Callithrix jacchus: one gene and its partner. The protein of the gene in region 1 purifies or fractionates together with the protein of each later gene. This does not show direct contact. Links are inferred from orthologs where the notes say so. Each region holds a gene or a part of one and is shown on either strand. Other genes may lie near its edges.

Region 1 (3,568 bases):
GGCCCTCAGGTATGTTGAGTAAATTATCTAGTCATTTAGCTGTTAAGTCTGGGAACCACTGATTCTCTCATTCGGATGCCAAGCTTTTTCCACTATTCTCTGTTGCTTTCTACGGTGGGGAAGCTACTGTTCCCTTCCCAAACAGAACACTGCATTAAAATGTAGCTAGTTTCTTATACTTGTAAAAAATAAAAATACATAATTGGCCGTTTTTCATTTTCTTAATAAGTTATCCTGGTATTTTTCCCTCCCCACCACTGCCATCTTTCATAAAGAGAAGTTAAGAGTATATGTATTGCTGTTACTCTACCATATTGAAGCCATTTAATGTGATTTTACATTAAGTATATTGTCTATATAGTTTCATGCTTTACATATTAAAAAACATTTTTTTTAAACCAAGCTTTGGAAGCTTGTTTTAATTTGCCAGTTGTTTTAAATATTTTGGATTTCCCATCAAATGTAGGATAACTTGTGTTAGATATGTGGAGTTCATCCTATAATTTTGGGATATTGGAACCTTACATTAACCAGTGTTCTACATAAGAGCTCTAATTTTCATGATTAATTTCTAAGCTAACTTTATAGATGTGCTGTAACCATATGTTGTCATAGTTAACACTGGGTGACGATAACAAAAGGAATACTGGAGAAACTGCATGTGTTTTTTTTCCCTTGGGTATACTGTATTTTGGCTGTGAAGATCTAGTACAGCTATAGTTATAATGACTGTTTGCCAATATAGTTAAATTTGGGAACAGGTGAAATGTAGCTCAGGGTGTGACTGTGCTGTTGATCAAGACAGGCGGGCTACATAGTGGTGGAGAGTGAGAATTTGGGCACCACACAGGCCTAGTTTGTAATCCTGGTTCTACCACTATCTAGCTGCAACACACTGGACAAGAAACAACCTCCCTGTCTTCAGTTTCCTCATCTTTAAATTAGAGGTGATGATAACTACTTTATAGGAATGTTGTAAGGATTAAATGATATTGGCATAGAGCAAGCTTGTCTAACCCATGGCCCACAGAACCACGTGTGGCCCAGGACAGCTTTGAATGTGGCCCAACACAAATTGGTAAACTTTCTTAAAACATTACAATATTTTTTTTTTAGTGTTAAGTGTATTTTATGTGTGGCCCAAGACAATTCTTCCAGTGTAGCCCAGGGAAGCCAAAAGGTTGGACACTCCTGGCATGAAGTAAGCAGTCAGTCAGTGTTAGATAAATACTTTCAGATATTGATAATGTTATAGAAATTTTTCTTTTACTGGATAGTGTTATGTCTGGCACAGGCCACTTCATCCTCTCTGATTTTTTATAAGATGATCATAAGAGTTCAGTGCAGCTAGCATTTGACTGCCAAGAGTGGTGAATGCTGGGGATACAAATATAAGGTATATATTGAGCATGTGGTCCATTTTACTGTTGTTGGGGTACTTCCCCTACATTTTTTCTTTTTTTTTTAAGGCTAGTTGTGCTTTAAAAACCCAGAAAACATAGAAAAAGCAACAACATAAAAGTATGCTAAAGGATAGAGGTAAAATTCTTCTGATAGACTTGTTGGAAGTAAATTTGTATTTTTATATTTTCAATTTTTATAATGATTTTTTACTGTCCCAATTAAAAATTTGTTTTCTTAGTCTTCAACAAGCAGACGGCAGCACCCTCTTAATAAGCATCTCTTTAAGCCTTCCACGTTCATGACTTCACATGAACCACCAGTGTATATGGATGAAGATGATGATCGATCTTGTTTTCAGAGCCACATGAACGCTGCTGTTGAAGAGGCATCAGTAAGTTATCTATTTAGTTATTATACACAAGGTATAGAAGGAGAGTAGGATTTTCTAATTATTTCCACTCTTCAGAGAATGTTGGTTTCTTCTCTTTTAATGAACAAGTCCAATGTATAGTTTTTTAAGTAATGTGCTTTTGTGAAGAAAATTTCAATCATATACAAAAGTAGATTAGTATAATGAACCTTAACAATTATCAACATGTGGCTACCTTGTTTTAATCTCTACTCCCTCCCTACCCACCTCAACTCTGCTCTGGATTATTTTGGAGCAAGTCCCAGATATTATCATGTTTATAAAAAGATAATTTGTTAAACAGTGAAGTACATAGTCACTGTTCATTATTTTTTTTCTAATTTGTTTTATTTGGGTTTGGAGCCTCATAAAGCCTATAAATCACAATAGGTTCATTCTCCCTCTTTCACTTTCCTTTTTTCCCTCTCACAATGTTTTTGTTGAAGAACTGGTTCATTTGTACTGTAGAATTTTCCGGTATGGATTTTATTGATTACATCTCCTTGATGTCATTTAGCCTGTTCCTCTGTTTTCTGAATTTCCTGTAAATTCATATTAGGTCGAGAGCATTGGTCAGATTCAGATGTATTTGTTTGTTAGGGTGGGCAGGACTACATCACATGTAGTTTTATCAGCCTGGTTGTCTCTTTTTTTTTTTTTTGCCATAAAAGCTACTGATCATTGCCCAAATCGATTAATTCTTTAGATGTTACAAAATAGTGATTATGCTATCATTTCTTCTTCATTTACTTAATGGACTATTCTATAAAGTAATCCCCCTGCCTCCCAATCAACTATTTGGCTACTCTGAGGTACATATAGAAAAGGTGGGGGATAATTGCTGAATTCTCCCTTTATTTTTATTTATTTATTTATTTATTTATTTATTTATTTATTTATTTATTTATTTATTTGAGACAGCGTCTTACCCTGTTGCCCAGGCTGGAGTGCAGTGGTGTGATCTCAGCTCATTATATAGCCTCAGCCTCCCAGGTTCAAGCGATTCTCCTGCCTCAGCAGCTGGGCATACAGGTGTGTGCCACCACGCCTGGATAATTTTTGTATTTTTAGTAGAGATGCGGTTTCACCATGTTGGCCAGGATAGTTTTGATCTCCTGACCTCGTGATCCACCTGCCTCGGCCTCCCAAAGTGTTGAGATTACAGGCATGAGCTACCGCACCCCACCTGTTTTCTTGTTTTTAAAATAATGAATTCAGGCCGGGAGCAGTGACTCACGCCTATAATCCCAGTACTTTGGGAGGCTCAGGTGGGCAGATCATCTGAGGTCGAGAGTTCGAGACCAGCCTGACCAACATGGAGAAACCCCATCTCTATTAAAAATATAAAAAATTAACCAGGTGTGGTGTAATCCCAGCTACTCGGGAGGCTGAGGTAGGAGAATTGCTTGAACCTGGGAGGCAGAGGTTGCAGTGAGCCGAATCCAGCCATTGCACTCCACCCTGGGCAATAAGAGCAAAACTCCATCTCAAAAAAAAAAAAAAGAGAGAGAAATGATTAATATCTGCTGTGTCTTAAACAGCATATGTGTATAATTTCATACTTTGTATTATTAGAATTGTACATCTGAGAAATGTTTATTTAAACTTACTATTTTTCAGGCTTTGCTATGGGTTAGATACGTAGTTATGAACAAAATATGTTTGATCTTTATGCTTATAAATCTTAGTCTTGTGGGAGGACATAAATGTGTAATTATATCAGTAAGTCACACATTTAAAAAAGTGCTTCAGGCC
Region 2 (4,349 bases), on another chromosome or scaffold:
TACAGCAAATATTTTTCACTTCCTTCTCCACCTATTCGGTATCTAATTGCATCTCGAAATAAAAAGTCCCCCTCCAAACAACTCAAAAGCTCATCCCTAAGTTTCTAGATACTCATTCCAACAAACCCCTGGGGGAATGGCTTTTTACTCACTTGCTGCCATGTCAGCTTCAGCCTTTCATACTGCTCCTTGCCATCTGCCGAGCAATCCGAACAAGTAAACCTAAAAAAATTATCACCCTTAAGGTAACTGAGCTGTTCCCTCAGCTGACCTAGAAGAAAAACAGAAAGTCACATCATGGGTTTATCTAGAGCAGTGGTAACCCCAAGGTATGATGCATTTATCACCCAGATTTTCCTTTCCCATGTTGAGTCTTCTTTTCTTGAGCAAACACACAATAGCAAGATGGGAAAGAGGAAGGCAGTAAGAAAGACTTGTATTCTTCTAACACCAAGTATACGCCCACTAAGATCTGTACGATCCAGTAACTTTTAGGAGAAAAGTACTGGAAAATCAGGTATTGTTGCTGGATTTCCCAAGTGTCACATTCCTGACTCCCAGAGGCAGGTCTCTTCACACATTCTTTCAAAAAATATGAGCTCCTTCTGCATACCAGGCACTGCGCTAGGAACTGGGAATACAAAGCCCAAGACAGATAATGGTGCCTGGTCTCACAGGTTTGCACTTCCCTGAGGGCAGCACAGTGATTCTCCACGCTCACAATGCATCAGAATCGCCCAAGTTGTTCCTGGTTTTCTAAATATACTTGGTTCTAGACCAGATAAAATGAATCAACTTCTGAAGCAGAGCCTAGGAGCTACATTTCTGTGACACATGAAAACCACAGGAGTGGAATGTGATATGCACCACTGGGCAGTGTGAGAGTAAGTAAAAGGGGGACCCAACCTATGTTAGGGGGAGGCTTAGGATTAGAAATTGGCCAGGTGAAAAGGGGTGTCTTTGTGTAAAGGGAGAATGGAGGCTGTGGAGGAGCATATTCCAGAAAGGAAAAATACATGTGCAAAGCCCTAGGAATAAGACAGAATTGTTTGTAAAGAATGAAAAGTTCATCCTAACTGCAAAGTTCTGTGGGGATCAACAAAGCTACACTTAGCAGGGTCCTGACCACAAAGAGCAGCTTAAAATTTATCCTCACAGGACAAAGGGAAAGCCACTGAGAATTCAGGCAGAACCTGGATTTAATAAGCAGAGACCACTCAGAAGCAAAAACCAGCTAACTAGTAAATTCTACATTTCCTGTGAAAATGTTACTATTAATTTGTTAACAGTAACTAAATCTGAAGTTGAACCCATTTTAAGAAAAAATTTCCACATGCCAGAAAATGACCCACTTCATAATTACAATGTATTTCTCCTACTTGATGACAGATTCTATCACACAAAAGCATTCCTCAGGTACATATGTCTGTAAAGCCTCTTGCCTAATGGGAAAATCCTCTTTTGGTATGAACCGTATGGCTGGCAAGCCATACCCTCGAGTGCCAGGAAGCTGACCATGGAATATCTCAAAATTGGGAATGGCCACAGTGGCTCATGCCTGTAATCCCAGGATTTTGGGAGGCCGAGGCAGGCAGATCACCTGAGGTTGGGAGTTCGAGACCAGCCTGAGAAACATGGAGAAACCCCATCTCTACTAAAAATAAAAAATTAGCCAGGCATGGTGGCGTATGCCTGTAATCCCAGTTACTTGAGAGTCTGAGGCAGGAGAATCACCTGAACCTGGGAGCCAGAGGTCACAGTGAGCCAAGATTGCACCTTTACACTCCAGCCTGGGCAATGAGAACGAAACTCTCAAAAAAAAAAAAATTAGCCAGGTGTGGTAGCAAATGCCTGTAATTCCAGCTACCTGGGAGGCTGAGGCAGGAGAATCACTTGAACCCAGGAGCTGAGATCGCACCACTGCACTCCAGCCTGGGCAACAAAAGCAAAACTCCATCTCCAAAAACAAAAAAAAAAAGAAGAAAACCTCAAGATTGGGGCAATCAGGGAGTGTGTATGATGTTATCTCTTGCCAGAAGAAAAAAAGGAAAATGGGAAAAAAAGACTGGTCCTAGAAAAAGAGCAAAAAACACCTTCAATGTGCTCATCTAACTTCTCTTCAGTATACAACAGCAGTTCTCTGCATAAGTTAAACATTAACAAAGTAATTTTTATAAACTTGAACATGAATTCTACACTGGGATTGGAATTTTGCCCCAAATCTATATGATCATGTTAGAAAAATATGGCTAATTATTTAAGTAACACAGGATTTCCAATTTTCTCATTTTTATTGAGTTACCATCAAAATTGTTAACGATGTGACAGAGGTTGACAGTAAGTTTCATTAGTACAAACGTGCCTAGGTTTTGTATAAATTGATAGCTGATTAACTAGAGAATAAATATAATTATCCTTTTATTTAGGTCTCTTTTATATTCACATTTCTTTCTCAGGTTGGAAAAACAAACCTTCACACTGCAATTGACAAATCAAAGAAATTGAGAAGCTCCTTACTGGCTGGTATCCATTTTTGGCACTTGTCACAGAAGTAGGACAGCTGCTCCTCTATCCACGATACGTCTCCTTCATCGCTGTTGAGGGAATCCCCACTCTGGTCATGTGATAAGTCCACTGATGCCTGATCCTCAGATTCCACAATCAGGAGTGTCTCTCCCTCCACTTCACCTTCCTCCAGTCCTTCTGAGGTCGATGTTCTCGTGGCTTCGTCATCATGCCGACTAATCAGACTACTCAGGTGGATGCTACTCTCCATCCCCTCCTTCTCACAAGTTCAGCAGTGCTTCTCAGTAACAACCCTAAGCTCTGGACAGTGACCTTAGCAGAGCTTCTACCAGGATCATACAAAGACTCTTCCAAAGAGCATCTGCCTACACTCCTTTATTCAGATATAAGGGACACTGAAAGCAGTAATTTACAATATATGATCCACTGTCCTTTATCTGATCAAGTTTAAAAGGACGGTGACCAAAAAAAAGATGAAGACACCACTAAGCTACTCTCCGTCAACACACACACATACACTCATGTTGTCTGTCCCATTGATATTTCACATTCAAGTCGTTTTTTGAGATCCTTTTGCCAATAACATCTCTCTTTCTGCTTCAAGTTGCTTAGTCAATTTAATCTGCTCTCCCAAAAGACGAATGTTTTCTTTTTTCCGATTTTGCCTCTGAATGTCTCTGATAACTCCGTCATGAAGCCTCTAAAAACGTATAAGAAACAGATTTCAGTAACATCCCGAACAGGTGGTCCCCATCCTTGTGCCATTCAAATCCAAATAACAGTGTTACCAAAATACACTTAAAACTTTCAGATTCCAAATACCCAGTTACTATTTTAATTTTCTGTACAAATGTAAAATGTAATAAACCATCAAATAAATGTTATTACTGAAATGATTTCTCATATTTTAAGAAATTTCTGAGCATTGAGTACAGACTATTTAATGGGAAATAACAGGAAAACGACTGTTAAATAAAAAATAAAATGTTAAATTTTATTTTATTTTATTTATGTATCGAGACAGCGTCTTGTTCTGTCGCCCAGGCTGGAGTGCAGTGGCGTGATCTCAGCTGGCTGCAAACTCTGCCTCCTAGGTTCAAGTGATTCTCCAGCCTCAGCCTCCCATGTAGCTGGGATCACAGTCGTGCACCACCATGCCCAGCTAATTTTTGTATTTTTAGTAGAGAGGCGTTTTGCCACGTCAGCCAAACTGGTCTGGAACTCCCGACTTCAAGTGATCTGCTCGCCTCAGCCTCCCAAAGGCTGGATTACAGGTATGAGTCACCGCGCCTGGCCAATGTTAAATTTTAAAAGTGTAACTGATACATAATGCTTAAAACCTTGGCAAGTTACTACAGTAACACTGTAAACTACCCTTCTGTTAGCAATTATCCTAGCTGAACAATAAACATCAAGAGAAAAAAAGCAGATTACTAAAATCTGAACTTGACTTCTAGCATGTAAAGCTAAAAATGTAAAACTCATACAGAATTATTAATTATATAACAGAGAGAGAAGGAAAAAAAGAAGAATGCTACTACCAGAGGAAAAAATAAATTCCCATCAATGGTAGTTACCTTAGTAAGCACTAAAAAACCACAGAATCCCAGAACACGGACCTGACACCCAAGTTTAGACTTTTAAAAACATCAATTCAGTCATTACTAATAACTAACACTTTATAGTTTATTGCTCACAAAAATATAAAGTTTTTAGGCCGGTGGCTCACTCCTGTAATCCCAGCACTGTAGGAGGCCAAGGCAGGCAGACTGCTTAAGCTCAGAAGTTTTAGACCAGCTTGGGCAACATGGCAAAATCCCATC

Evidence for each region. The genes of interacting proteins can lie anywhere in the genome.
Region 2: the proteins of ZZZ3 (region 1) and KAT14 purify together in Homo sapiens (affinity purification with mass spectrometry; 4 studies listed by BioGRID and IntAct, with this or other methods). This does not show direct contact. The link is inferred for Callithrix jacchus from reciprocal best matches to the Homo sapiens genes ZZZ3 and KAT14.

The regions. Positions count from the first base shown.
Region 1 is NC_133508.1:114,800,379-114,803,946, reverse strand, and holds part of ZZZ3 (ZZ-type zinc finger-containing protein 3), read left to right. Parts: intron 1-1,642; coding exon 1,643-1,795; intron 1,796-3,568.
Region 2 is NC_133506.1:25,179,604-25,183,952, reverse strand, and holds the start of KAT14 (cysteine-rich protein 2-binding protein), read right to left. Parts: upstream 2,818-4,349; 5' UTR 2,777-2,817; coding exon 2,518-2,776; intron 272-2,517; coding exon 153-271; intron 1-152. Other genes in the region: protein PET117 homolog, mitochondrial, read right to left, coding at 3,077-3,226. UniProt on the Homo sapiens protein: Component of the ATAC complex, a complex with histone acetyltransferase activity on histones H3 and H4. May function as a scaffold for the ATAC complex to promote ATAC complex stability. Has also weak histone acetyltransferase activity toward histone H4.